Canis lupus familiaris: one gene and its partners. The protein of the gene in region 3 interacts with the protein of the main gene of each other region in a pairwise test. Links are inferred from orthologs where the notes say so. Each region holds a gene or a part of one and is shown on either strand. Other genes may lie near its edges. The genes, in order: HMGA1, ATXN1L, RBFOX2, HNRNPF, QKI, RNF8 and BOLL.

The links.
Region 1: the proteins of RBFOX2 (region 3) and HMGA1 interact in a two-hybrid assay, tested with the Homo sapiens proteins (2 studies listed by BioGRID and IntAct, with this or other methods). The link is inferred for Canis lupus familiaris from reciprocal best matches to the Homo sapiens genes RBFOX2 and HMGA1.
Region 2: the proteins of RBFOX2 (region 3) and ATXN1L interact in binary tests that used the Homo sapiens proteins (3 or more experiments, as listed by UniProt). The link is inferred for Canis lupus familiaris from reciprocal best matches to the Homo sapiens genes RBFOX2 and ATXN1L.
Region 4: the proteins of RBFOX2 (region 3) and HNRNPF interact in binary tests that used the Homo sapiens proteins (3 or more experiments, as listed by UniProt). The link is inferred for Canis lupus familiaris from reciprocal best matches to the Homo sapiens genes RBFOX2 and HNRNPF.
Region 5: the proteins of RBFOX2 (region 3) and QKI interact in binary tests that used the Homo sapiens proteins (3 or more experiments, as listed by UniProt). The link is inferred for Canis lupus familiaris from reciprocal best matches to the Homo sapiens genes RBFOX2 and QKI.
Region 6: the proteins of RBFOX2 (region 3) and RNF8 interact in binary tests that used the Homo sapiens proteins (3 or more experiments, as listed by UniProt). The two-hybrid records come from large-scale screens. The link is inferred for Canis lupus familiaris from reciprocal best matches to the Homo sapiens genes RBFOX2 and RNF8.
Region 7: the proteins of RBFOX2 (region 3) and BOLL interact in binary tests that used the Homo sapiens proteins (3 or more experiments, as listed by UniProt). The two-hybrid records come from large-scale screens. The link is inferred for Canis lupus familiaris from reciprocal best matches to the Homo sapiens genes RBFOX2 and BOLL.

The regions. Positions count from the first base shown.
Region 1 is NC_049233.1:3,706,047-3,710,312, forward strand, and holds the start of HMGA1 (high mobility group protein HMG-I/HMG-Y), read left to right. Parts: upstream 1-1,466; 5' UTR 1,467-1,539; intron 1,540-1,786; 5' UTR 1,787-1,900; intron 1,901-4,266. UniProt on the Homo sapiens protein: HMG-I/Y bind preferentially to the minor groove of A+T rich regions in double-stranded DNA. It is suggested that these proteins could function in nucleosome phasing and in the 3'-end processing of mRNA transcripts.
Region 2 is NC_049226.1:78,196,411-78,200,674, reverse strand, and holds the start of ATXN1L (ataxin-1-like), read right to left. Parts: upstream 2,801-4,264; 5' UTR 2,670-2,800; intron 768-2,669; 5' UTR 700-767; intron 1-699. UniProt on the Homo sapiens protein: Chromatin-binding factor that repress Notch signaling in the absence of Notch intracellular domain by acting as a CBF1 corepressor. Binds to the HEY promoter and might assist, along with NCOR2, RBPJ-mediated repression.
Region 3 is NC_049231.1:29,219,398-29,223,419, reverse strand, and holds the start of RBFOX2 (RNA binding protein fox-1 homolog 2), read right to left. Parts: upstream 2,801-4,022; 5' UTR 2,774-2,800; coding exon 2,585-2,773; intron 1-2,584. UniProt on the Homo sapiens protein: RNA-binding protein that regulates alternative splicing events by binding to 5'-UGCAUGU-3' elements. Prevents binding of U2AF2 to the 3'-splice site.
Region 4 is NC_049249.1:3,821,685-3,825,827, reverse strand, and holds the end of HNRNPF (heterogeneous nuclear ribonucleoprotein F), read right to left. Parts: intron 2,421-4,143; 5' UTR 2,370-2,420; coding exon 1,125-2,369; 3' UTR 501-1,124; downstream 1-500.
Region 5 is NC_049222.1:52,355,125-52,359,155, reverse strand, and holds the start of QKI (protein quaking), read right to left. Parts: upstream 2,801-4,031; 5' UTR 2,786-2,800; coding exon 2,644-2,785; intron 1-2,643. UniProt on the Homo sapiens protein: RNA reader protein, which recognizes and binds specific RNAs, thereby regulating RNA metabolic processes, such as pre-mRNA splicing, circular RNA (circRNA) formation, mRNA export, mRNA stability and/or translation.
Region 6 is NC_049233.1:6,561,117-6,565,401, reverse strand, and holds the start of RNF8 (E3 ubiquitin-protein ligase RNF8), read right to left. Parts: upstream 2,801-4,285; 5' UTR 2,663-2,800; coding exon 2,552-2,662; intron 1,893-2,551; exon of another isoform or gene 1,119-1,892; intron 1-1,118. UniProt on the Homo sapiens protein: E3 ubiquitin-protein ligase that plays a key role in DNA damage signaling via 2 distinct roles: by mediating the 'Lys-63'-linked ubiquitination of histones H2A and H2AX and promoting the recruitment of DNA repair proteins at double-strand breaks (DSBs) sites, and by catalyzing 'Lys-48'-linked ubiquitination to remove target proteins from DNA damage sites.
Region 7 is NC_049258.1:7,090,215-7,093,714, forward strand, and holds part of BOLL (protein boule-like), read right to left. Parts: intron 2,347-3,500; coding exon 2,203-2,346; intron 1-2,202. UniProt on the Homo sapiens protein: Probable RNA-binding protein, which may be required during spermatogenesis. May act by binding to the 3'-UTR of mRNAs and regulating their translation.

The DNA of each region.
Region 1 (4,266 bases), on a different chromosome or scaffold from region 3:
CGCGCCCTCCTGGCTGAACCCGCGCCCGGGGCCGCCGGCGCCTTCCCGCCCCGGCGCCCCCGCCCCCGCCCCCACCCGGCCGAGCACGTGCTGCCCCCGGCCCCGAGCGCCGGCCCGCCGCCCCGGGTGGGGGCTGGGCCCATCCCGCGCTGCTCCCCACCCCCACCGGAAACATTCCTGAAACATTCCTGAAAGTAGGAGGCCCGGCCCCTCCGGCTCCCCACCCCGCCTCCACTGCGGGCGCAGGGTTTTCCTGGCGGCCCCCTCCTTCGCCCGCTCGCCCCCTGAGGAGGGGGCTGGGCTGGGGCCTCGGCCGGCCGGGGAGGAAGGAGGGGAGCAAAGAAAAACATGAGTCACAGCCGTGTGTCACTGGGCCGCATTGCATTTCCCTGCATCACGGGAGGTGTGGAGGGCAGCCGCGGGGACCAGGGGCGGGAGGTGCGCCCGAGGAGGCCCGGACCCGGCCTGCAGGGCGCGCCGCTCTCGACAGCGCCCTTTCTTCTCCCACCGCCCTCCCCGCCATCTTTCGACTTTGGCTTCCTCCTCGTCGGTGCAACAAGTCTCTGTGGCGCCGGGCGGGCCAGGCGTGGCGGGGACGGCTCGCGTCGACCCAGTCCCTGCCCTCAAAGTGCTTCCAGGCGACCGTGGGCTCACGCTTTCTCGTTCTCCTTCGCAGCGGAGAAGGCTAGGGCACCCAGTGGGTAGGCGTATCTCCAAGCACCACGCGAGCCCCCTGGAGGGACGAGTCCACCCTCGGGTTTACCTGCAAGCGAGCCAATCGTTTGCTTCGCTTGGAGGCTGCACCTGGATGACGGCTCACTCGCGGCCATTAATAAGCGAGAACTCGGGATTTCACAAGTTTCACGTTTGGATTTCACAAGACTTGTATTTCACCAGTCAGCCACACGCAGGTTGGCACTGAAATGCACATGCTGACACCTGTCCGCCCAGGGGAATCTGCGAGCCGCGAATCTGGGCGCTGGGGCGGCGGGTAGGCCGCGGAATTCTCCCGGGCGCGTTCCTCCCCGCCCCCGCCCGCCCGCGCGGATCCCGCGGGCACTAACGCCCGCCCACACCCAGCGCGCCCCGCGGGCGCCGGGCCCACGCGCCCGGAAGGTCCCTGGAGGTGATCCTCCCAGGACCGCCCCCCCGCCCCGTTCCAGGCTGTGAGGACGCCCTCCCCTCTCCCCCCGCGGAAAGCTCCTTGGCGTTCCCACTCTATGCACCCTCCCCGGGCTCCCGGCCCGGGACAGTAGAGGGGATCGTGGCCTCGGGTTCCCAGCCCAGGCCTCCCGCGCACCCCTCCCGGGCGTCAGCACCCACCCGCGCGGCGGCGGCGGCTGGCGGGCGGCCGCCCTTTTAAATCCCCGGGCTCATTTGCATGGCCCCGCCCCCCACAGTGACACGGCTGGCGCGGGCGGGCCCGTCCCCCCTGCCCCTGGGTCGCTCTTTTTAAGCTCCCCTGAGCCGGGGCTGCGCTCCTCTAATTGGGACTCCGAGCCCGGGCTATTTCTGGCGCTGGCGCGGCTCCAAGAAGGCGTGAGTTCGCGGCCCCTCCGGTGGCTTCTTTTTTTTTTTATGTATCTATCATTTAATTAAATTATTTATTTATTGAGGCCGCGCACGGGCCGTGCCTAGCTTCCTGCCCCTCGCCATCCTTCGGGGGAGGGCGAATATTTTTGTCCCCCCGCCTGAATGTGACAGATAAATACCCCGCGGGGGCCTGGGCGGCGAGCACGCGGCGGCGGCGGTCTCTGAGCGCCTCTGCTCTCTCTCCCGGTTTCAGATCCGCATTTGCTACCAGCGGCGGCGGCGGCGGAGCCAGGCCGGTCCTCAGCGCCCAGCACCGTCGCTCCCGGCAGCCCGGAGCGCGCACCGCAGGCCGGCGGCCGAGCTCGCGGTGAGTCGTCCCCGGGGCCCGCGGCGGCGGCGGCGGCGGCGGAGGAGGGGGGCGCCCGCGCCCCCGCCCGCACGCCGCCCCTCCTGCGAGCCGCCCGGGGCTGCAGCGCGCGCCTCCGGCTTTATTCCCAGGCCGGGGCTGCGCGAGCCGGCGGCGGGGGAGGGCCGCGCGGCGCGGGGGCGGGCGGCGGGGCCCCGCGGCGCGGGGAGGGCGCCCGCACCCCTTCCCCCGCGCCGCGGGTGCCCTGCGGGGGGCGGGGACCCGGGAAAGGCGCGCGGTGGGGGAGGGGGCGCGCGGCTGCGGCGAGCGCGAGTTGTGCACCCGGCGGAGCCCGGTGCACCTCGCGCGGCCGCCGCTCCCGCTGGAGCCCGAGCCCGAGCCCGAGCCGGGGCCCGGGCTGTGGGGGGTGGGGAGAGGAGCGGGCTGCGGCGAGGCGGGCGAGTGGGGGGCCGGGCGACCCCCGCAGCCCGGGGAAGTTCTAGAAGTGAGGGGGATGGGCGGGAGCCCCGCAATTCAGCTCTGCTCCCGCTCGGCCTTCCTCCTGGTGCCCCCCTACGCAGAGGAGGCCGAACCGCGCGGCCCTGGGTTTGGGGCTTCACCCCGACCCCACCTCTGGCCCGGCCCGCGCCTCTTCAGCCCCCGGGGCCGGGCCTGCCCTCCGCCCCCACAAACAGGTTTCTCTGCTTTGCAGGGCTCTGTTGGAACTAGTCCCTCTGACTCCCCGTTTCAATTTTTTTTTTTTTTTCTGGAGCTTTATTTTGCGGGGAGGGCGCGGAGGGAGGTGGCTTTCTTCCTCTACCCCGCGCCCGCGCGCGCCAGGTTTCCTGCCCCAAGGCGGGCTTGGGTGCCCCCTCTGGCAGGAAGTGGGGCCGGGTGCACCCGCGTGGCGGTGCATGCGGTCGGGGTGCACCAGTTTCCCGCGCCTGCGAGAGCAGCCCGTGCCCCTCCCCCCGCGCGCTCGGGCCCCTAGTTTCGTTGGCTGACCTGCAACGGCCCGGCCCAGACACTTGCAGAGTCACCCTGGGGCCGGGTCTGGAGCAGGGGGCGACAGAGACTTTAATCAGTCTCCAGGAGGGTAAGGAAAGAAAAGTCCCGGGCTAGAGGGGTCGCCGGTAACAACCTCTCTTTCCTCACCAACTTGCTGTGTGACCTTGGGCAACTCCTCAGGCCTCTCTGGGCTACTTTTTTTCCGGAAAACAAGGGAGCCCCATGATGATTTCCTAGGGTTGTGCTCGTAGACTCGTGTGCATTTGTGGAAGACCCATTGCATGCACGGTGTGTGGAGGGGCAAGCTTGAGGCCCAGAAAGGCTCATTACATACAGAAGGATTCAGGTTGGGCCCTAAACATGGCTTCGCCAGCCAGGCTTCTGATATTCAGAAACAGGTGGAAGAAGAGACAAGCCCTACCGAGAGAGGGCTTCAGGCCTTCATTCAGTTCCTGGAGGCCTGGAAGGGGAGGGAGTTGGAGAGTGGATTAAAGGGGTCCCCAGGAGTATGAGGTGGTGGGGGGATCTCCAGATGATGCAGGAACTTTCCCGGAGACCCACCAGGATTCTCAGGCATGCTGGGCCCAGGCTTTCTGGGATTAGGGGCTGGCTTGGCCCAACTGGAACCCCCTCCGTGAGGGGGCCTTCTGCAGACCTCATGTGAGGTCAGTGCTCATTTAGACTGATTAATTTTGATGTTTAGCTTGAAGGGGAACCTGTGGTGTAATATAAGATTCTAATCACTGCCTGTAATTACAGAGCAGGCCAAGCCACTAATGACGGAGCAGGATAAATCACCAACCACCTTGTTTAAAAGGGTCTTCAAGTCTGAAATATTATAAAATAGAATAATTACCAAAGTCTCACCGTCTGGAGAATCGTGATGCTTGAGGATGGGGGCCTCAAGCCCTCCAAAAATCACAAGTTTGCAAAAAAACTTTCTTTTCTCTTGGCTAAGTTAAAATTGGAAATGTGTCTGAAAATCTGAAATAGGTGAAAGAAAAGTCATTTTCGAATATTCTAGTTCTCATTTTGATTGAAGTGAGGACTTTATGTTGACGCATTTAACTATGATCTTGACTATGATGATCATTTAACTATGATCTGGTTTAATCTTTGACATCAGTTTGGAAGAGGGAGTTGGGGTAGATGTCTTCCCATTACCCCATTTTACAGATGGAGGTCTTTTGGAAGTGTAGCTGTGTGGGCCCGCCCTTTCCCAAGGGCAACCAGGGATCTGTTACCAGGGAGGTACAGAGTCCTAGGTCTCCCGGGTCTCCTGTCTCTGCAACTGGAAAGACAAGAGGGGAAATGGGATGGGGGAGGGGAGGACCCTCACTGTGTTTTAAGCCTCTGGAAGAGCCACCCTAATCCGGGGT
Region 2 (4,264 bases), on a different chromosome or scaffold from region 3:
GGGTTATGATCTCACCTTTCCCATCCCCCCATCCCAGGCCTAGTTAAACTCTCATCCTCCTTTGCCTCATATCACTACTACCTCAAAGACCGGGATGCCAGTGAAAAATAGCATCTTCTCTGCCCCAGGAAATACTACATTTCCCCCACGAGGAAAGTGATTGCACTTCTGTGTTCTATAATGTAGTTGTTTCTCCTCCTCCCTAAAGAGCAACAAAACTCTCTGGCCACACACAAAGACTCCCCCCCCCCCCCCCCCCCCCCCCCCCCCCCCCCCAGTTTAGAAAGATTGCTTTTCTTCTCGTTGACTATCTTCAATGTACTTTCTTCATCCATTCTCTTTCTTTTTTCCTGTGTGTTTTCTTTTGCCAATGGCTCCTTTTCCACTGCCCTAGGTCTACTCTAGGCAACACTTCCTAAATTCTGGTTCTATTCCTTCAAACATGTCTAGGTCTCTATGATCCATAAGAAAGTTCTCTCTCCCCTTTCTCTTATTGTTACCTTTCATACATGCTTTTATCCACTGTCATAAAATATTCTTTCAGTCTGTACATTTCAATGCATATGAACTTTGTCACCTATTTCTTCCAAACAAGGCTCCAGATCTTTGGATCTGGATATTACACTCTGTTCTGTTTTTCCATTGTTGAATCCCAGATGTATTTTTCTGCAACAAGGTATCCAAATTTCCCTTTTTTACCTGAGCTTCCAGTGGTGCCTCTGAGCAGCTGTAGTAAGAAGCAGTGTCCTCCCCGCTGCCTTGGGAGCCTAGAAGACAGAAACAGGAATAAAGTAAGCAGGAGCCTAGCCTCTCCTTTTCCCCAGGGTCATCAAGAAAGGTAATTCTAAAGCTACAAAAACATTAAAGTCCATAAGTCCCTGCCTCATCCTCTGCTCCAGAGGTAACAGCACATTTATGCAGAGTGTCTAGACATTTGAATAGAGGAAATAGCTTTAAATATATAGAAAGACATCCCTGAAAAAAATGTTCAATGTATGTCAAATTTCATTGTTTTCCTTAACATCACATTCTTCACTCTCTCCCTGTACTTTATTCCCCAAAGGTTAAATTGACTTCCAATCCCAATTTCCAGGTAAATGCACAACTAAAAATGGAAGATTCAACATTATTCCCATGTGAACAATGGCAAGCTGGAAAAATCAACTCCATGGATTTCACTATTATTCAGGGCTGATGAAAACACAGATGTGGAGGTTATTTAAATGAGAAAAGTGGCACTAGAGGAAAAAGAACAATTATTTATGTTTCTGGGGCAGAAAAAGAGGTCAAGGGGGAGTCATTCAAGGGGAAGCCTTATTAACAGATTTTCAGAGTAAAAAAAAAAAAAAACAAAAACGAATCTTGTATGTGTATGTAAAAATTTCTGAGTGACAACTTCGTACCAAGTGCTGAATCAGGTGTGACAGAAAATGAAAACACTGCCTGGGTCCTAATGTAGCTTATTAACAATGAGGAAACAAAACTCACGCTAAACTATCAATATCTGAATCTACACATGCCGGTAACATCAAGGACCAGAGAAAAGCGTTAATCTCGGACGCCAGATAAAGCAGTATTGACCAGCACTGAGAAACTATCCACTGCCCTATCCAAGTCCTACAGAATGGCAAGCCTTTAACCAGACCGAAGCAACATTTATCTCTTAAGATTGGCAAGGTGTATGTACAAGAAAAGGTGATGAGATAGGAAAACGAGGGGAAGGAAAAATCCTCAGTTTTGTAAACAAATTACACAGTGGGCACGACTCTTGCATCCCTTCTTCGGTAGCAGCCCCGGTTAACTGAGAGGCAATTAGCTTTCTCCCTCATTCGCAACAGAAATTGGGGTCACATCTCCAATCTCTGAATTACATTTGCTTCCTGCCAACTAAAACCTTAAGCAAAACCTGCCTCTGGGTTCTCCAAACACGACCTAATAAAATAAATAAAAGATTCGCTCAAAAGGTCTGAGCGAATGACAACAAAGAGCCAAGCCTGTGCAATCAGGTTCCAACAACGCCAAACAATTTCGGAATCTGAAACCTCTTCCTCAGGGGTGGGGGGCTCAAAGAGCACTTGTGGGTGGGGAGAGACGTAGCCTGGGACCCCACCGAGCTAACGGGGCCGGGGGTCTGTTCCGGAGAGCTGCCAATGCTGCCAGTCAGAGCCCACAAGCAAGAGACGGAACCCGAAATTCGGTGAGGGCGAGAGGTGCGCCCGCCAGAGAGTGGAGCTCGGGAGAGACTACGTACGGGTGATGGCTTCCCGTGATCCTGCAATCCTTGCTTCGACGAGGGAAGGGCCCCAAACTGGGAATTTAACGCTTAGGGGTGCGGGGGGGCGCGATCCCTGAAGCCGAGGAGCAGCGGCAAGGCCCCGCAGGGGATGCTTCCTTGTTTGGGGGCCCCTTCTCGCCCCGAAGCCTCGGACACCCCGGCCCGCGGGGACACGGCCGCGGGGGCGCCGGGGCCTGGGGCCGCCTTCCGGGCCGGGCCGGAGAAAAGCGCGCGGGGCTCCAGGCGCGGCCTCCTTCGCTCTCCGGGTCCGCGGTTCTCGGGCCCCGGTCCGGCGGGGCCATGGCTCCAGGGGGCCACTTCCTCCTAAGCTCCGAGCCAGGCCCGCTCGGCCTCAGAGAGGCCGCCCGGCAGCCCCCACTCCCGCGACACTCACCGGCCCATCTCACGGCGCTCCTTGGGCTCCTCCCGCTCGTCCCGGAGCCGCCGCCACCGCGGCCGCCGCCATCCCCGGCCCCGGAGCCGCCCCACACCCAGCGCCCCCCTAGCCGGGCGCCCGGAGATGGCGTCACGTGCGTCCCGCCCCCGGCGCGGGCAGATAGCGTCACCGCCCAGGCCAAGAGCGACGCCCAGGAACACGCAGGAAGGCAGCGAGGCGGCCCCTAGCCCCTTGCCCCTCGGCCCCAGCGCCCCCTCTGGTGGGAAAACGAACTCCTCCCAGGGGGGGAAACAGGGTCACGTGAGAAGGCGGGCCTCGCCCTCTCGCCCTGACCCCACCGTGACCCCCGCAGTCTCTCCACTCCAGTAAATTCTGGGGGTTCCCAAACAGGGCCCCGGGGCGTGGCCGACGGCGACCCCCCCTTCCTGGGCTTCCGAGGCCTGACGGGTGAAGCCTGCTGTTGGGAACCTCGGGGAGCCCCCCCGGCGACCCCTGTCCAGGGGAGTAAGAAGATGCCCCTGGAGACCCAGGGTGGAGATGAGGGAGCGCTTTGCGTTGACAAATGGCTTTGAGGGGGATGAGAATGGACCGGATCCAGGATCCAGGAGAAGGTGAAGCAAGTGATGGGAACTTGAGGGTTGAGAGAAAGGGGTTCAGTACAGTGGAAGCCGTTTGGTTAGTGGAGAGAGGGCTTGGCTAACTCGGTCAAGTCTTAGGTCACCACTCACTGCCAATGGTCTAGTTAACTCCATAATGGCATGGACATCGGATTAACAGCAAGTGGGAAAGCGAACCCCAGTCGAATTCGTGCTTTGGTTACACCGATGTAAAAGAGTTCTGCATCCAGACAAGAGAGAAAATTAAGTTTAACTGTTAGAGAGATTGAATCCGAGTGGGTTTTTCCCCTTTCAGTTTTTGCAGACTTTGTTCACTAAATAACAACTGATTTTTTTTTTGTTGTTTGATTTTGAAAATAATTAGCTGGGCTCTGGTCCCTAGCCCGTAGTTGTCTGACCTTAGGAAAATCGTTTTCCTACTCTAGACTTAGGTTTCCACGTATGCAAAATGAGGAGCTTAAATTAGATGAGACGGTGGGAGTAAGATGTAGATAAAAGAGCTCTCTCTAAACATTTTAAGTGAAAATATAATTAAGTGTGTACAGTGTGATATCATGTATTTAATGCAAAAATACATATGTAACACATATAAAGACATATTATGTACCTGTACCAGAAAAGGAATGGAAGGCTATGTAACAACTAGTTGACATTGGTCATCTCGGGGCAGCCCGGGTGGCCGCAGCGGTTTAGCGCTGCCGTCAGCCCAGGGTGTGATCCTGGAGACCCTGGATCGAGTCACACGTTCGGCTTCCTGCGTGGGGCCTGCTTCTCCCTCTGCCTGTGTCTCTGCTTCTCTCTCTGTCTCTCATGAATAAATAAATAAAATCTTAAAAAAAAAAAAAAAAGAAAGGAAGACTTTGCCCTTCCTTCTAAAAAGAAAAAAAATTGGTTATCTCTGGAGAAGAAAGCAGCATTGGGTGGTGACCAAAAAGATAACAAAAAGGACGTATTGTTTAGATTTCTTATGGGATA
Region 3 (4,022 bases):
GGAGCCTGCTTCTCTCTCTGCCTGTGTCTCTGCCTCTCTCTCTCTCTCTCTCTCTCTCTGTGACTGTCATAAATAAATAAAAAAATTTTTAAAAATAAATAAATAAATAATAATAATTATTATTATTATCACAATGATATAGCAAAGTGCTACAAGTGTGGGTCACTGAGTGTTAGATTCTATCTTTTCAGGAACATTACTTCTCCTTTACTCAGATTATACCTCAAATTTCAGCCTTCCCATAAAGCCTCCCTTGACCATTTCAGCAGGAATGACCTTCCCCTTCATCTAGCACAAATCCTCTGCATACTTTGGCTCTAAATTATGCAATGACTTGTAACATGCATCCACTCTAGGGTATCTCTGCTCCTGTTCCTCTGAAACTTACACACATACACACAAAACCACACATACACCCACACACGTGCACTCTTTTTTTTTTTGTCACCCAGTTTTGTCTTCTCCACCCAGACTAGAAACACCAAGTACACCTTCAGGTCAAGGAATCTGATGCCCTTTTTTTTTTTTTAAGAGATAATTTAGAAATCATCATGTACAAGCCTTTTCTTTTACAACTAAGGACACAGAGCCCCCCCCCCCAAAAAAAAGCAGGGATTTTCCCGAAGTGTACAGCTAGTTGAAGGCAGAGGGCTAGATTAATGATGATCTGAACACCTGTGTGACATGGTGTGTCAGAACTACAGCAATGATAATGCATGACCTGAAAAATAAAGATCCACAAATGCACAGAGTGAAAAAAAGATTCTCTGTGTGATAGTTCTAAGTTGCCCATTTGTACCCAAAGAGTCTAATCCAACTCCTTCCTCTGCATACTCCAAAGTCCCTATGTGATGCTCCATTTCCAGATACTACTATCCTTAGCCAGTTTGAAGCCAACCAGCAAATAATGGGCCCCACGGGGAAAGGAGAGGAAAGGGAGGGGGGAGCCTTAGAGTTAACAGTGATTGACAGAAACAATGAATGAATACAGACCCACACGAATGTAGGCACACACCAAGCGGAGGCGGTGCTCACCAGCACCCACATCCAGTCACCCCTTCTGATGAGCTCACGTTAATCCACCTCACCTGAAGTCTCCCCACGTTCCTTGATATTTTTTCCATGGCCCTGAGCTTTTACTTCTCACAATCCCTCTGCCTGACACAGTTCTGATGGAGAACAAAAGCAGGCAAACAAAACAAAAGAATTCAAAAACAAACAGCAAGAGGGTCACTTTATCCAAATCAACACAAGTAACTGAGCGGCCTCTGCAGAGGAGACCCGTAAGCACACAGCAAACATGCCAGGCTCAAATACAGCTCGGTCTCTAACACAGGAAGTCAGGCAGAGCCTTGAAAAGCAGGGAGCAGAGCACAGGAAGTCTTTTAGCACTGCAGGGATTTCCAAGAGTGGTGTAATGGAGAGAGCACAGGAATAGGAATTAGAAGAGGAGGCTTCTAGTTCTAGTTTTGCTACAAGCTAACTGGGTGGCCTTAGGCAAGTCACTAGTCTTCTCTGGACCTCTGACTCCCCATCTACAAAATGTGGTGGCTAAAACATTTTGAGGCTTGGACACTCCCCCCCCCCCAAAAAAAAAAAAAAAAACACACAAAGAGGAAAACTATTGACTTCCCCCGCACACACCAAAAAGTGCACGTAAACTGTTCTGCCTAAGAGTCTTCCGAGCCCATCCAGGTCAAGAACTTCTGGAAAAGATGATGTCTCTGGTCCCTTCCATCTCTAACATTCTATGATTCTAAGAGAATTAGGCAGATGTGTAAACAACGGGTAGGTGAGCTCCACCATTTCACAGCGAGTGTATTCAGAACAGAGACCAGATCCTAAAAGGTCCGAAGGCTTCAGCTCTTGCTGGAACTACGGAGTCAACTGACACCACTACGTTTCCCGCTCCCTCCGCGATCAGCCAGCTTGTCCTTGAGTCCACAACTCCGAACCCGGTCTCCCAACGGCCCTAGGAGTCTTGTCCGGCGCCCCGGGACGTTGGGCAGCGGCCGGGGGTCCTCGCCCGCGCAGGAAGCGACTGGCGTGGCGAGGCGGGGCGAGGCGGGGCGGGGCGAGGCGGGGCGAGGCGGGCGCGCTCGGCTCGGGGCTGCGGACCCCGGCGGCACGGTGCCCACCCACCGCCCGGCTGCCCGCGCCTCTCGCCGCCCACGAGCTGAGCCGCATCCCCGGGCCCTCGAGGAGCCTGGTCGCCTCCGCGGCCCTGCCCCGGCCCCGGCCCCGGCCCCGGCCCCGGCCCCGGCCCGCGTGCGCCGAGCGCTGCCCGAGAGCTACTTGTCGGGAGGCTGCCCGGCCCTCGACGCCCCGCGGCGGCCCCCTGGGCAACTGAGCCAGGACCCCCGGCTCCCACTGCAGCCCGAGGAGCCCGGGAAGGGGCCGAGACATGGAACCCGCCTCGATCCCCGCCAGAACCCGCTCGGCCGCCGGGCCCCGCACCCCCCGCACCCCCGCCCCGCCCCGCCCCGCCGCCGCAGGCCCCGCCGGCCGCCTCCCACCTCCACGCGGCCCCCCGCGCCCCGCCGTCCCGGCCCCGCCGTCCCGGGGCGCCGTCCCGCGCGGTCACCTGCATCCCGCCGCCGCCGCCGTCGGCCGCCGCCTCCTCGGTGCGCGGCCGCTTGCTCAGGCCGGGCTCGGCTCCGTCTCCTCCCCCTCCGGGCACCGGCAGCTCCAGCTCCGACTCCCGCTTCATCCCCCGGGCAGCGGCGCCGGGCCCGAGCTGCGGCGGCTGCTGCGGCTGGGCGCCTTCCGCCATCCGCCCGCGCCCCCCTCGCCTCCGGGAGCCGGGCGACCCGCGACAGGCCACCTCCCCCTGGGCCTCGGCCCCGACTGTCGCGACAGGCGGGCGCGCGCCTCCCCGCCCCCGCGTGCGTGCGTGTGCGTGCGCGCGGGCCCGGCGCCCCTCGGCGGCTGGCGGCGCGGGGCTCGGCGGCTCGGGGCTCGGGGCTCGGCGCTCGGCGCTCGGCGCTCGGCGGCTCGCGGCTCGGCGCTCGCGGCTCCGCGCTCGGGGCTCCGCGCTCGCACACGCGCCCCCGGCCCGGCCCGGCCCGGCCCGGCCCGGCCCCCCGCGCCCCGCCTCTCGCACTCACGGAGCTCGCCCGCCGGCCCGCGCCCGCTCCTTCACACCGCCCCTCGCCACCCGCCGGGCCGGGACGAGCTGACTGGCCGGGAGCCGCCGACCCGCCACTGTGGCAGCCCCGGGAAGGCGGGCGCAGAGAAAGGAGGAGGGAGGGACCGAGCGCTGGGACTGCAGCCCGCGCGGGAGGCCGTGGCGGGGCGGGGGCGCCGGCGGCAGCGGCGGCGGCGGCGGCGGCGGCGGGGGCGGGGCCAGCGCCCCTCGGCAATCTCCGCCGCCTCCGCTCCGGGCGTCCGAGGGAGGCCGGGAGGAGATCGGGGGAGCTCGGGAATCTCCGGCCCGGGCGACGGCCAGTCCTGGAGGCGCCGTGCCGCGGGCGTGCCGGCCCGCGCGGGGGGGGCGGGGCCTGCGCCGGGGGCGGGGCCACGGCCCGGGGGGCGGGGCTTGAGGGGCCGAGCGCCCGGGAGGGCGGGCGGTGCGGAGCGGTGACCTGAGTCCGCCCAGGTAGCCGCCTTGGTTTCGGGCCGGGAAGGAGGCGCTGCGTGGAGGAGGAGGGCTCGCTGAAGAAAGGGATCTCGACTCGGAAGGTCCAGGAATGAAGCCACCGCTCCAGGGCTCTCTGCGGTTCTGAAACACTTTAAGAATTACTGTTATCGCTTTCTGGTCATCGTAATAACACCCGGTGCCCGTAAGAGCTTTACAGCGACGCCGGGGTGGCTCAGCGGGTGAGCGCCTGCCTTCGGCGCAGGGCGTGACCCCGGATCCCAAGATCGAGTCCTGCCTCGGGCTCTCCGTAGCAAGCCCGCTTCTCCCGCTGCCTGTGTCTCTGCCTCTCTCTTTCTCTCTCCCTCTCTGTGTGTCTCTCATGAATAAATAAATAAAAGTCTTTAAAGAGAGAGAGCTTTACAGTTCGCACCAGGTGTCCACA
Region 4 (4,143 bases), on a different chromosome or scaffold from region 3:
CAAGATTTATGTGTATTCAGTAATAACCTGTGATTTCTAACCCAGGATTATTAGAGCTAGCATGGAAAAAAAATGTTCAAATCAGTAACTTCATATAAAAAAAAAAAAAAACCACCCTGAAACAAAATGTGGTTGTGATTAAAAGACTGCCAAAGTATGTGGCACCCAAAATTAAGGGTCTTTAGCTATGAGAAATGAATGTGACTCCAGTATAAGAGAAGAGCGGGACATTACAGCTGAGCAGTCCAGTCTCAAAGGAGGCTAGGCCTGCGTGCTGCTTCTATTTTCATACTCCCGTGTTTCCAGTCACCATTTCTACCGCTCATGTTTAACATTTTTAAAAATCAAACTTTTAATTTAGCCTTGGTATAGGAATAAGGGAAATCTTAGATTCCATGTGCTAAATTAGTTTTGAAATTCACACTGAAATACAGCAGTATTAAAACAAATTCTCTTCAACCACCCATTTTGCTTTTTGGTGAGTATATAGTCGGTGCCAGTCATTGTGAAAAAATCTTTATTTTAAGAAAAAAATTTAGTTAACAAAAAAATTTAACAAGTTTCACTTAGCAAAATACACCCAAAAGGAAATCACAGTACAAAGAAAGTTTTAAGTCAAGGCCTCACCAATTCCTACAGTATTAGTAATGTGTCTCAATTTTCAAAACTAACTTATTTTTTAAAAGCTTAAACTTAACCTAAAAAGATTTTAAATGAAAATAAACTAGAATGAACAAACAGGAGAAATGTTCCTCTTTGAATCAGGGATCTAGCACCTTGAGTTTTCCAAAAAAGCACGTCTCCCCAATGTGTTCACGGTGATGTGGTGTAAAAGATCCATTTAATGTACTTAAAACTACTTTAACTCAGATAACATCACTCTGAAGTACACTACCCAAAATGTTAATTGAGAAAAGCTGAAAATAGTTTTAGTTTACTCAATATCACATGCTAGAAGAAAGTTTGCATGAGAAAACACTGAAGAGGTAATTTTTTAATCCAGATTTCACAAACTCATGGTGCAAAATGGGTCCCACAGCTTCCTCTAGAGTAATAATTGCTTTTCACTGCTTGTTGGCTGCCTGTGAAAATTTGATTGCAATAACTCAAATGCTCCTACAAAACTAGTCATATCCACCCATGCTGTTCTGGCCTCCATAGCCAGCCCCGTAACAGCCACTCACAGACTGGCTCTCGAGGCCACTGTAAGTCGACTGGGCTGACACTCCCATGCCTTGCATCATCTGGCTGCTATATGCCCCATTGCTGGCCCCAGTTGTGGAATTCAGGAAAAGTTCTATGTATCTGTGTTGCATGTTGGCCCGGTCTTTGGACATAGCTGCCACAGCTTCTTCGTGAGTGGCAAACTCAACATCAGCTTCACCCGTCACTCTTCCATCAGGGCCAATCTCAATATGGACTCTCACAGGGTTGAGTGGAGAGAAGAAGTTGTAAATGTCGTTCTCGGTAGCTTTGTACGGCAGCCCTCTCATGTGGACACAGTGTCCAGTGGTGCTCTGGACGGTGAACTCGCCATCTCCATATCTGTGGTCATACATGCCCGAGAGACAGTAGCTGAGGTCTCTCCCGAACAGATCAGTGGTGAAGCCGTAGCCATCGCTGAGGCCACTGTACTCCTCATAGCCCCCATAGCCTGCACTATAAGCACCAGACCTCATCCTCTCCAGGCCTGCTTGCTTGACAATGCCAATATACCTCCTGGCTGTGCCAGGGCGGTCATAGGGCCCCGGCCGCTGTACAGACATGAACTTCAGAGGAGGATCTGAGTATGACCTAACTTCTTCCTGACTGCTCTTAAACACTTCAATATATCTGTGCCCTATTCTCTCCTTGTGCTTCCCGAGGGCCTTCTCAGCTAACTCCTGGGAGGCAAACTGCACAAAGGCTTCCCCTGTAATCTTGCCCTCGGGGTCCACAGGCAGTGTGATCCCGTTTGGCACAATTTCCAACCCTGAGAAGAACTGAACGATTTCTTCCTTGGTGCATCCAAATGGGAGTCCTCGAAGCCGCACGAAGCCATCATTGGCGGTGTCGGCACTGTTTGGACCACTGTGCTTCAACACCCAATCCATCTCGGTTCTGTGGGACTTGAACACCTCAATGTACCGGTGTCCCATGCTTTCCCTGTCTTTTTTAAGGGCCATTTTTACATCATCTTCTGATTCAAGTTCAACAAAAGCCTCACCACTCTGCCTGCCTTCTCTAGTGTAGATGAAATGAACGCCTGCAGCCCCATCATGAATTGTGCAGTCAGAAAGGAAATTCTGCACATCCTCAACAGAGCAGGACCAGGGCAGGCCACGGAGCTTGACCACAAAGCCTTCACCTCCCTCGGGGCCCAGCATCATGGACACTTGAGAGGACAGACGTCAAACAAGCTTGGGTGCAGTTTTTTGTGGCTGAAAAGAAAGCAAAAACTTTACATAATTTTTCATTTATTATGTACAAGAATATGCAGTAAATCTTATTTTTCTGATTTTACAGATGAAAAAATAAAATGTTAAGAAATACACCCAATACATTTGAACTCAGATTCAATCCCAGGTCTCCCCTAAAATGTACATATTACAGACTGAAAAAGAATTAGGAATCTAAAAAAAAAAAAAAAAAATACAATAGTGATCTAGAAGCCTCTGTCAGTAAGCCACAGCCTATCAATTCTAATGGTCAGTTATTTTAAGTTCTAAAGGGAAGACAAAAGAATGAAATAAGCCAATATTTAGAAATAGAGAACTTCTCAGAACTGGAGGAAAGTGAGATTATGACACTCAAGTAAAAGGGTATTTTCTTGTTACTAGAGAAAAGACAGAGCAAATTTGTAATAATATAAGCAGGGGAATGGCAGATGGAGCAGCAGGCTCCACGCTGACCAGGAGACTGATATTGGTTATCAATCCCAGGGCTCTGGGATCACAACCTGAGCTCAAGGCAGATGTTTAACTGACTGAGCCACCCAGGTGTCCCTTGGCTCATAATTTTAATAAATTACAGTAATTTCAGTATTTGATGAAGTCACTATGCAGCACTTAATCATTTTTTTTAAAACTGCCAACGTGCAAAAGGATGATTTTGTAATGACTTTGGCCCCATCCCCCTATAACAGATTTCATATGCTCTTCCTCCTCTTTTGTACGTGTGAAGTAAAACAGCTCAGGAAGTTTAAGTTATCTATTTCCTGGCTGTACCAGGTAGCTCAGTGTCACATAGCCAGGCCAAATGGTTCACATTGTGGACCAGACAGTTCTTTGTTGTAGGGAATAGGCCTGTGCACTATAGGCTGGAAGGCAACATCCCTTGCCTCTGCCTACAAGCTGCCAGTAGCAATACCCTCCCCCCAGGTGTGACAACCCCACAGATTTCCAGATATTTCCAAATGTTCCCTGAGGGTAAAACCTACTCCCAGCTGAGAATGACTACTGTAGAATCAGGATCACCAACCTTAAAGTGGGCCCTCAATACTGCCTACAGTTCTACCACACACACACACACACACACACACACACACACACACACACTTGCCCAAAGCCCTGAGCTGTCTGTGGCAACCTCACCTTTTCTCATTCCCCCCATCTGCAGCTGATTCAAAGAACAGCGACTACGTGAAGGAACTGCCACATGCCACAAAGTCTAGGAATTTATAAACAAGCAGTTGCTTCTCTTGTTAGCTGATATCATTAGCAGGATCACAATCCTGCTCTGGTCCCAACTCCACTCACCCTAGAAAAAACTTTTAAGGCTCCACACCTAGCGTGAAGCCTAACGTGGGGCTTGAGCTCACAACCCTGCATGATCAAGACCTGAGCTGAGATCAAGAGTTGGACACTTAAATAACCAAGCTATCCAGGTGCCAAGAGAAACTTCTCTTCAGTCTTTTCACTGAAGACCACCTTCTTAGTAATTAAGAATGTCCATTCGGAACTAATGCCATTATATACCATTTTACTTGTTCCCACAGCAGAATTTAACCACTCCCCCTGGAAATCCTTTCTCCCTCTTAAAGAAGATGCAACCTTCTGGTTTTCCTATTAATTTTGATTGGTTCTCCTAGCTGTTTCCTTTGAGTCCTTCCTCCACATTCAACTGCTGGGAATCACTGAGCTTGGGTGAATTCTTTTCTAGGCA
Region 5 (4,031 bases), on a different chromosome or scaffold from region 3:
CAGCTTATTCCACACTAAGGAATAGCCCCTCTTCCTGCATGTTTGTACTGGTCTGATAAAAAAACAATCAAACTTCCTAGTCATTATGCTGTCCATTTTAAACATCCCAGCTACGACACAAGCAATCTTTACTTACCCTGGGGAGGAAAGGCTAAAATTCTAGATAGACCAAGATAAGAGATGGAGTAAACCACATTAAAAGAGAAAAAAAAAAAAATTACTTAGAATGTATCATCCTCAGCTAGTGGTCTCCCAAGTTTTAAAAGGCAAATAGTTACTATTTCCAACCACAGAGAAATGAACAAACCTTTGTTAGAGATAAAGACCTAAGTGGAATTCTAGATTTGGAAGATTACAAATTATTGAAGCCAACGTTAGAAACTTTTTAACAAGGAACAACTCCAAATGATCACTTAAAGATTTTAGATCAACATAAAAGCACAGGTGAGAAGTCTTTCAGAACTAATCAGAGAAATTCAAATTATGTTTTTAAATAAGATACACATAAAGTGAAATACCTTCAATTTTTTTCATAAACTCCTATGTCATTTGATTGAACTCAGCATTGTAATTAAAAGACTAATGCAACTTTAATTAATTCTAAATATTGTGAGGACACATTTCATTTTAATGTCAATGAAAGATTCCTTCTAAACTGTACTAAATAAAGAAAATTTAACAAATACTATTAAAATTTTAAAATTTCCAAAATATACCAAGGCAGAAAAGACATATCATTTTTGAAATGCAATAAAATTGTTCCCATAATTTTACGTAATGTGTTCTGAGTTTATAACTATATATTATAAATACGGTAAGTGTATTATGAACACGAAATGACACGCAAAATGATCTACTGTGATTCAGATTTAAAATATAATATAGATCAAATTATTGAGTATATTACACATTTTGCTCCAAACATTTCTCATGTTTAAAAAAAAATAACTGGCGCCCCTTAGCGCTCACATTTGGAAATACTCAATTTAATAGTTCCAGCAATTTTTTTTTTTTTTTCGACATTCCAGAAAGTTTTCTGCCTCCACAATCTTTCAAATGCCAACACAAATAGAAAAAGCAGAACCCCTTAAAGGGACAGCTCAAGTTTTTTCTGGAGCAATATAAAATTAACAGATTTGCTATTTCAACAAGGGAAAAAAGCCCATTCCGATGAGGATTACCGCTGTTCGGTCTAACATACGTAAGCAATAGCTAGGACGCTGTAAGACCTAACAGTCTCGAACTTTGAAAGTTGTTTCTAGGACTTTCTTGACAACAAATGATCCCGGGATTCTTCTTTAACCATCTTTAATCACGAAGACATTTCCGGTCTTTTGTTCTTTAGTGACATTCCAACTCTCTAAGCTTCAGATTCCTTTTCTCTAGTTCTATAAAGATCTCGAAATTCCTATGAAAAATCTAAAATCCACGGTTCAATTCTATAAAACAGTTTATCAGTCTTCCAGGGATGCTTCTGAGACAGGAAAAGAAAAAAAAGAAAAAAGAAAAAAGAAAACCTCCTGAGTACTCGATTTTCAAATTAGACTTTGTTGGTCATTTTGTCTTCTCCAGGCTTCCACAGAAAAGCAGAGCTGCTAGAATTCGGCAGTCCAGGGCACTGCTCTAAGCAAGAACTTGTTAAAGGAATCCCAGAGTCGGCCAACATTAATCTTGTCGTTCTTCGCAACCCTCCGCTCTCCGCCAACAAAGCTTTTCTGCAAACTTTGCCCCTTCTTCTCCCCGTCCTTCGGAACGTCCATCCTACAGAGCGAGGCAGCGGCGTCCTGGGTTCGCTCTCCGCCGAAGTTCTCTCCGAGTCGGGACGACGTTTAGACTCGTCCTCGCGGTATTTCGTTCTCACCCCCCCCCCCCACCCCGCGCCCAAAGTGAAGTTAAACTCCCCAACAGTTCTCGCTTCCCCAAACAAAAGGACGAAAAGTGCTTTCGGCTGTCATCTTGCCCCGGCCTCCGGCTCGGTCCGCACTACTTTGGGGCTCCTCGGGCACATTCCCTCCAGTGGCCCGGCCCCACGCTGCTCCCCTCGAGTACTCGCAAGCCGCACCAACTCCCCAGCAGCCGCGGGCCCCAGGACCCTCCACTGTGGGAACGCGCGCGGCCTCCGGGAGAGCCCCCCGGGGAGCGCCCCGGGGCCGGTGTCCTTCAGGCGCCCGCGGGCCGGGCGCGGCCGGCTCCTCCGGGGCTCCTCCGGGGCTCCTCCGGGGCTCCTCCCGGCCAGGCCCGCCACGCTCCGGGCCGTCGCGGTGCTCGCAGGCGCGGCGGGAAGCCAGGGGCGCGAGGGGGCTCGCCCCGCAGCCTCCCCGGGGCGCCGAGGCCGGCGGCGCGAGGCCCGGGGTCGCGGGCCTGGGGGGGGGGGGAGAGGGGAGGGGGAGCGTCCCGCCGGCGGGTCCCGCCCGAGCCCGCGGCCCCGGCCCGCCCGCCGCCGCCCGCCGCCGCCCGCCGCGCCCCGCGAGCCCGGCCTCGGCGCCGCCTCCATGCGCCCCGCCCGGGCCTCTGGGTCCCCGGGCGCACGGTCCCCGCCAGCCGCGACCTTCCCGCCCTCCCAACACGCCGGCGGGCGTCGGGTCCCGGGGAGATGGGCCGCCCCGGGGCGCGGGGCCGCGAGCGGCTGCCGAGGCGACTCACCTTCGTCCAGCAGCCGCTCGAGGTGGTTGAAGATCCCGCAGAAGTTGGGCAGGCTGCTCATGAGCTTCTTGTCGTTCATCAGCTGCATCAGGTAATCTGGGGTGGGCTTCGGCTTCTCCTTCGTTTCCATTTCCCCGACCATATTCCAGGCTCCGCAGCTCACTCCGCCCGCCGCCGCCGCCGCCGCCGCCGCCGCCGCCGCCGAGGAGGGAGGGAGGGAGGGGCGGGGAGCCCCGGCCGCCGGCCGCTCGGGACTCGGCGTCCCGCTCCGCTCCGCTCCCGCGCCGGGCGCCGGGGCGGCCGGACCGCGCGCTCGCCGCGCTCTCCCCGCCCCCGCAGGCACTTTCCGCCCGCGGCCCGACGCGCTCCCGGCCCGCCGCCGCCGCCGCCGCCGCCGCCGCCGCCGCCGCTCCTCGGCCGCCGGCTCGGCGCGTCCCTCACGAGGCCGGCGGGCGGGAGGCGGGTCTCCGCGGGCCGAGTGCGGGCGCGGGCCGCTCGGCGCCGGACGAGGAGGAGCCGGGCCGCCGCCGCCGCCGCCGCCGCCGCCGCCGCTCGCTCGGCTGGTCGCGCCCGCTCAGCCGCCGCCGCCGCTTCTGCCGCGGGCTCGGGGTCTCTCTGGGCTGGTCCCCGCCGCGGCCGCCTCTGCCGCTGCCGCCGCGCTCTGACTCCGCTCCTCCTCTTCCTCCTCCTCCTCGCCTCCTCCTCCTCCTCCTCACTCACTTGGCGGCGGAGTTCGCCTCAGTTCAGGCGGCGCTGCCAGCGGCGGCGGCGGCGGCGCGGGGGGAGGGGCGGCGGCGCGGGGAGGGCCGGGGGCGGGCGGCGGGCGGGGCCGCGCAGGGCGGCCGTTAGCGGGGCCCGGCCGGCGCGCTCCTCCTCCCGCCGCCGACCCCGGCCCGGGCGCCGCCGCCGCCGCCTCCCGCCTCCGTCCGGCGGGTGGTCGGCCCGAGAGGGGCCCGGGGCTGGGGTCGCCGGCGCGGCGCGGCGCGGCGCGGCGGGCGGAGGGAGGGGCGGCGGCGGGGCGGACGGGCGGACGGGCGGCGGGGCGCGGCGGGGGCGGCGGGTGGCGGTGCTTTGGACTGGGGGCGGGGTGAGGGCCGCGCCGCTCCGCGCTCCCCGCTCCCCGCTCCCCGCTCCCCGCCGCCGGGCCGGCTCGTCTGGCGGGCGCGGCCGGGCTGTGGCGGTGGGTGAGGGCTCGCCAGCGGGACGCTCGCCGCCGCACGCCTCATTCTCTCCTCCGTTACTATAGTTTTTTGTTGTTGTTTAAAGAAAAAGAAAGAAAAACTGTCGTCCGTTCTCACACCCTCCCCCCCCCCCAAAGAAAAGAATTTTTTTTAACGTCCTGTTGCTTCACGGGGGACTTTCGGGGTGGGCGTCACGTGCCCCGACAC
Region 6 (4,285 bases), on a different chromosome or scaffold from region 3:
TCTCTGTCTCTTCATGAATAAATAAATAAATAAATATTTTTAAAAAAGGGGGGGATCCCCGGGTGGCTCAGCGGTTTGGTGCCTGCCTTTGGCCCAGGGTACGGTCCTGAAGTCCTGGGATCGAGTCCTGCGTCGGGCTCCCGGCATGAAGCCTGCTTCTCCCTCTGCCTGTGTCTCTGCCCCCCTCTCTCTCTCTCTCTCTGTCTGTCACGAATAAATAAATAAAACCTTAAAAAAAAAAAAAAAGATTCTCTCTCTGCGCAGGGGTGCATGTGTGCACGCTCTCTCTCATACATAAATAAACAAATAAATAAAATCTTTTTAAAAAAATGAATGTGTGCCTAATGTAGACTTTTCGGCACTGATACCTGAAGAGAAAAAGAGATTGGGGCAGAGGGGTCCTCTTGGTGTTCTTCAAATCACAGCAAAGTAACCCTTTAAAACCTCCTGATCAGGGTGGCCCCGGTGGCTCAGTGGTTTAGCCTTGCCTTTGGCTCAGGATGTGATCCTGGAGACCCCGGATCGAGTCCCACATCGGGCTCCCTGCATGGAGCCTGCTTCTCCCTCTGCCTGTGTCTCTGCCTCTCTCTCTCTCATGAATAAATAAATAAAGTCTTTTTAAAAAATAAATAAAACCTCCTGATCAAAAAAAATAGGTAAATAAAATAAAAATAAAACCTCCTGATCTAGCAAGTTAAGGCTGGACCTGAATCTCCTGACTGGAGGAACCACTGTTCTAGGATAGTACTAAATAATCTAGATCTTGGCATTGGATTGTACAGCCTGCATAGCTGTTCTCAGATACTTCACTGTATAAAAGTGTCTTTCTCCATTCAAGCAATAAATTCTTTGAGAGCAAAGTTGCTATTATTTATCCCTCTCATAACACAGGAAAAAAACCATAAATAATAAATATTTGGGAGACTGAATTGAGACTATGTAGCTTGCAGAAACAATCTAGCTAAATGTACACAATGATCAAGACTTATCTTTCCTACAAATTATTTCCAACACCCAATGGTTCCCAGTCACCACCACAAGTGGTCCCTGATCCAGCTCTCCTTTCCAAGCTGATTGCACTCTAACTCTCTCTGCCTCCTCTTCTAGCACCCTCTCTAAACCACCACCCCAACTGCCCTCAACTGGAGCCGTGCTTCACCTTCTCTCGTTTCTTTTTTGCATTCATGACTGCATTAGAAAACACTACAGGGGACGGAGTGGCCAATGGCCTGCAGAGCAACATGCCCAAGTTTTATCGTGACTACTGCGACACATACCTCACCCATGACTCTCCATCTGTGAGAAAGACACACTGCAGTGGTAGGAAACACAAAGAGAATGTGAAAGACTACTATCAGAAATGGATGAAGAGCAGGCTCAGAGCCTCATCGACAAAACAACCCAGCATTTCAACAAGGAAAAGTACCTCCTACTCCATTCTCTGCTCCTCCTCCTGCAGGGGCAATGATCCCACCTCTCCCCAGTCTCCTGGGACCTCCTCGCCCTGGTATGATGCCAGCCTCCCATATGAGGGGCCCTCCCATGATGCCAATGATGGGCCCTCCTCCTCCTGGGATGATGCCAGTGGGACCTGCTCCTGGAATGAGGCCACCTATGGGAGGCCACATGCCAATGATGCCTGGGCCCCCAATGATGAGACCTCCTGCCCGTCCCATGATGGTGCCCACTCCGCCAGGAATGACGCGACCAGACAGATAAGGAGAGACAGGAACCTCTTTATATTCATTTTATATTACTTGTTCTACTTCACCAGGATATCCTGGTGCTGTGACTCTGGGTGTTTTCTAACAGCAGGATAAGGAAGACTTGCTTCCCCTTCCTATCAAAGAATAGTTTTTGCAGGGGAGTAGTGGGACACCCCCCCCCCCAAAAAAAAGGGCAATTTTCATTTGTATTGTGAAATGTGAAAATAAAATTATCAACTGTTTTAGTTAAAAAAAAAAAAAAAGGCTCACAGGATATAATGTGGATCCTCCTAGAGCTTCGATTTCCCCCAAGGGTTGGAAAGGAAGACAGTTTTACATTACAGTGCGCTCATCTGAAGGGACATGACCCAAACTCAGTGTTTTTCAAGCTAAACTCGAGAAAGTTCATGCTTTCCCGCTGCCCCCACCCACCAACCCGGACACCCGGCTGTTGGTCACTCGCGGTGGAGGCGCACTGGGCCCCTCAGGGCTCGGCGCGACCCAACCCCGGGCCCCCCAGGCCCCTCCCAAGCCAGCCGGTCCGCTCAGCGCCCACGCCCGCGGCTCGCCCAGCCCCTCCCTCCAGCGCCTCCCCGCAACCCGGCCTCCCGCCCAAGGTCGCCCCGCAGGCGCAGGCCGCTCTCAAAGGGGCCATCTTTCCTCCCGAGCGGTCCCCACGGCGACCCCAAACACCTCGCACCTCGACCCCCGACCCCCGACCCTCCTTCACTTGTCTCCGCTCCGGCCCGCCCCCACCTCCCCTGCTCCATTCATCCCTCCCGCCCGGACGCCCCGGCGCCGCTGCCTCCAACCCGGTCCCCCGCCCCAGGGCCCCTCCCCCTCACCTCGTTTCCGTCCTCCAGCAGCAGCCACTCGGCGTTCATCCTGGCCCGCCGCAAGCACCACCTCCGGCCACCGGCGCGGTCTCCCGTGACCAACGAGCCGGGCTCCTCCATAGCCCCGTGTGCCCCAGGTCGCGGTCAGCACAGAGCGAGACCCCCGCCCGGGTTCCCGCCGCCTCTCAGCCTCGTCGCCGGCGCCATAACTAAACAACAGACAGAAGCAATCGCTACGCGCTCGCGATCGATGTGAACTCTCGCTCGGGCTGCGCGCCCCGCCCCCTCGGCCGCCAACCGGCGTCACTGCGCCTGCGCCGGAGCGAAGCCGCGTAGAGGGGGCCGCAGGTGTGCTGCGATTCCGCTCCAGGTGGGACGGGGTCGCCCCGCAAGCCGCCCCTAGGTGGAGCTGCTTCTCACCTTACCCACGTCCCTTTTCATTTTTGATTTTGCTTTATGGTGAGTTCCACGTTACCTAAAACTATAACCAACTTTTAAACGACTTTAAACTTTTGACAATTTTATTTATTCATTCATTCATTCATTCATTTTTAAGATTTTATTTATCTATTCATGAGAAACACACACAGAGAGAGGCAAGGACACAGGCAGAGGGAGAAGCAGGCTCCATGCAGGGAGCCCGACGTAGGCCTCCATCCCGGATCCTGGAATCACGCCCTGAGCCAAAGGCAGATGCTCAACCACTGAGCCACCCAGATGTCCAAACTTGTGATAATTTTAAAATAAGTCTGATGACACCTGGCTGGCTCAGTCAGTAGGGTATGAGACTCTTGATCTCGGGCTGTGAGTTCGAGCCCCACCTTGGGTGTAGAGCTTACTTAAAAAGAGCACAAAATGTTTTGAATCTGTTCCTAAATAGCATCTGTTTTGCATGACCTCTTTTTACTACTGAAGTTTTCTTTTTTTTTTTTTAATTTTTTTTCTTATTTATTTATGATAGTCATAGAGAGAGAGAGAGGCAGAGACATAGGCAGAGGGAGAAGCAGGCTCCATGCACCGGGAGCCCGATGTGGGATTCGATCCCGGGTCTCCAGGATCGCGCCCTGGGCCAAAGGCAGGCGCCAAACCGCTGCGCCACCCAGGGATCCCCTCTTTTTACTACTGAAGTTTTCAAAACTTAACAGTAGAATCTATGGAGGTGGAAATCAGTTGCCTGGGGCTAGGCGCGGGGGCCAGGACTAAAGGAAAAGGGACATGAGAGAATTTGGGAAGGTGATAGAAATGTTCCAAAACTGGATTGTGGTGATGATTGCACAATTGTAGACGTTTACTGAAAAGTCACTGAAGCATTACATACACTTTCATTGGACAAATTTTATGATAGATGTAAATTATCCTCAATAAAGCTATTAATAGCACCACCACCACCACCTGAACTTCTTTTCTTTGATCCTCCACTATAGTGTGGTAGCTGCTCCCTGTAGTGTGTACCTCTGTGATAACACCTCCTCTTGTCTTTTCCATTTCCCGATACTTGGTTAACAATTTTCCTATATTCTGTCAAGGGAAAACACATATACTAAATGAATCATACAAAGCACAACAGTAAAGGGCTAACATTTATTGAGAACTAAGGGCCAAGTACTAGGCCAAGCACCCTACATACTTTATCTTATATGCTCCTCACAAACACTATGATGATGGTGGTTACAATTATAATTCTTATTTTAAGTTTGATGAGAAAAGAGGCACAGAGAGGTTTAGCAATCTTCTCGAAGTAAC
Region 7 (3,500 bases), on a different chromosome or scaffold from region 3:
TTATGATATTCAAAATAAAAATCTGAGTCATTATTAAACTATAATGTACAAGATATCTACAAAGATGGCTTTAATTGAAATAGTCTCTCAATAGACTCATATCATCTTTTCCTAGAGTATTCACACTAAATTCATTGCTATTTCATTTTCTAGCACATGTATAATTACTTCATGGGGGACTTTAAATGTCTTTAGAAAAAAAATTTCTTTATATACTCAGAAAAAGACATGCCCAATGGCAGGAGGCTATGCCTCCTGAGTTCCACTGTTCCCTTACTACTTACATCATCGGCTATTAGTTGGTAATGTAAAGCTGCTAAACTGACTGATGACAAATACTAAGTTAATCTCCTGAGTTCCACTGTTCCCTTACTACTTACATACATCATCAGCTATTAGTTGGTAATGTAAAGCTGCTAAACTGACTGTTGACAAATACTAAGTTAATCTCAGAATAACTAAATACCTCTTATTTCAATAAACTTAAAATGGAATCAATGCCAGAATAAGAATTTCTATTAAATATTTAAAAACAAATTAATTCGGGACACCTGAGTGGCTCAGCGGTTGAGCGCCTGCCTTCGGCTCAGGGCGTGATCCTGGAGTCCCAGGATCAAGTCCTGCATCAGGTTCCCTGCATGGAGCCTGTTTTTCTCTCTGCCTATGTTTCTGCCTCTCTCTCTCTCTGTGCCTCTCATGAATAAATAAAATCTTAAAAAATAAAATAAAAACAAATTAATTCAAACTATTCTCTGATAGAAGAATCACTAGTTCAGTTTTGTAGCTCTACTTCTTAGTTGAAAAGTAAGGAGACAGAAAGGCAAGATGATTAAGTATTATAAGAAGGATGTACAGTAAGCTTCTAAAAAGTTTTAAAGTTTTAAAAAGTTTGACACAGCTTGTTACTACAGTAAACTATTTCCTTGTTGTCATTTGTTTATGGTTTTGGAAAACATCTAAGTATTAGGGAGGGAACCCTAGCAAATACCTGAAATCTGTCACTGCATTTTTAACAATGGCCTCCAAAGTTCATAATGTAGCTGATAGAATTCAGTAACCTAGAATAACCTAGCCATACAAATGTTTTGATTTAATGAGGATTTATTTTAAAAATATACTGTTTGTAATATAAATTCTGAACAAGAATACTAGAATATTTTCCATAGAAACAAAATCTTTTTTAAAATAAACATTTCATTAGAAATCATTTTTATTTTTAGTGAACCAATCACACACTTAAGAACCATTATTCTGACAAATACAGTGAGTGTAACATTTCTCTTGAACAGAAAAAAAGTAATTTCACCCTAATCTTGGAAGACTGATTACAGACAGGGAAATAGTAATAAATTTTGTACCCTAATGGCAAAAGGATATTTTTAAATTAAAAAAGATAACTATCCCTGTAATTTCCAGTACATAAAATGGAAGCTTGGAAATCCTATAGATCCACTTGGAAGTAAGGATATTCTACTTAAAATAGCCATGCAGGCCTTTCCTCTAAGTGTTTACTTCCACCTCTGAAATGGTGCTGCAAAACATCTAACAACAACAAACTAAGCCTCTCTGAAAGAATGAAATGGCTGATTACATAATTAAAATACATTAATGTTAAGATGCTTTATTCTGATAAGGTTACAGGCCTTTTTTTGGTGACCAAATTCTAAATTAGGTGGCAGAAAGCGATCTGTGAAAGATGGAAGTTAAGGAGATCACTCAGTAGGAACCTGAGTAGAGTAGAGTAGAGCTCAGTACCTCACTGAGTAGAGCTGGGATAAACAAACAGGATTTCATAGGACTAAGTTTTGTGTTTTTTTTAATATTGAGTCTTTTTTGAAAATTATAAACATGATTATTTGATCTATTGGAATACTATGTAATAAAGTATAATTAATGTGGTATGGTGAAGAATATGAAACTATGAGTCAGAATACTGAAGTTCTAGTCTTCACTGTCACTAATAAGCTAGGAGCCTACAGATATGTCAATGAGCCTCAATTTCCTTGTATGTGAAACTGGACAATTACATATGTTCTATTTAACCTACATTGTTATTGAAAAGATTTTTTATAGTAAGACAATGTGAAACGTACTAATAATTATGCAATTAGTAAATATTTTTGTAGTTGTACAAAGTATTTCTGAGAAATAAAATAACTTCTATTGCAAAAAATACACTACGTTGCATGCATAAATAGGTACCTTAAAGTCAATTCCTCCTACAAAGATGCGATTAGGGATCACTGTTCCATATCTTGGGGCACTTGTTGGGTTATTCAAAGGCACAGGTGACACAGGATTAGGGGATGGAGATAATGAATCTGTTTGCGTCTGATTTGATGTTTGCTGTAAAATAAAATTCTTTTAAATTTTTAGCATTGGGTATAAGTTTTGATGCAGGCTGAAAACATGTATCTCTCAAAAAGATGAGTCACTTAGGCAAAATGTGATATTTTAGACTTTAATTTTATTCTAATATGAAAATTATAGTTAGAACTAATAACCCTTTGGAGCAACAAAAATATGGGAAATATAGAATCTATTCCACTACAGAGAAAATCTTAAATATATTATTTAAATATACTTATGTTAATTGTTTATTAAATATATTATTTAAATAGTATAAATACTAAGGACATTAAACTCAAAAAAGAAGTTTGAGAAAGAGAAAAGCAGACTCAGACAGCTGGGAACTGGCTTGGTTCTGGTGTTGTTAGGAGTTGGCCTGGAACTCACAGTAAGATTGTGGTGTTCTCTTGTTAACAGACTCGAGGCAAAGTTACTCTGTGATTGTGATGGATCACAATAAAAACAAGATCACTCCATGGTCATGGCTGAACCCTGCATTGTCCAAACCACAAGCATGACTAAACACCCCTCTATCCTGGCTGATATATGTTACTACTCCTTCTTTATCAATCACAGGTTTGGCCTCAATCTATTTTTCTTACCTTCTAAATAAGAATTAACAGACCCAAACCTAGAATTACTCCCACTTTCTGACGATATGAATTTCAGAGTAAAGCCCTTCTTCCCTAAATGCTAAGAAGAGCTTAATACAAGCCTAAATCCCATAGTGAGTTCTTTTCTAACACCCTCTTATGGAGAGGCTCCAGGGTATATAGCTCTTCCTTGTGGCAACAATTCAATAGACTCAACTTTACTTAACTACAGGTATGCTCCTGGTAGTCTTTGGTCAAGGGCACTGACAAATTAATACATTCTGACATTCAAGTTCACCATTATCTAGCTCTAAAGTCAAAGTTTTAAATGCACTTGTCAATTTGAACTGACTTCGTAAAAAAAGAAATGTATATACCTGTAACTCATAGGTATAAATCTGTATACCAAAGAACTGAGCTCAGTACATATATGTTCACAATTCTAAGTTGGGGGCCTAATTTAGATTTTAATAAATATATATTAACATATAAGCCTTTGTACAATGGCAAGATGGTAGACTCATAACATATATCTGAAAAAAACAAGACTTGAGAATA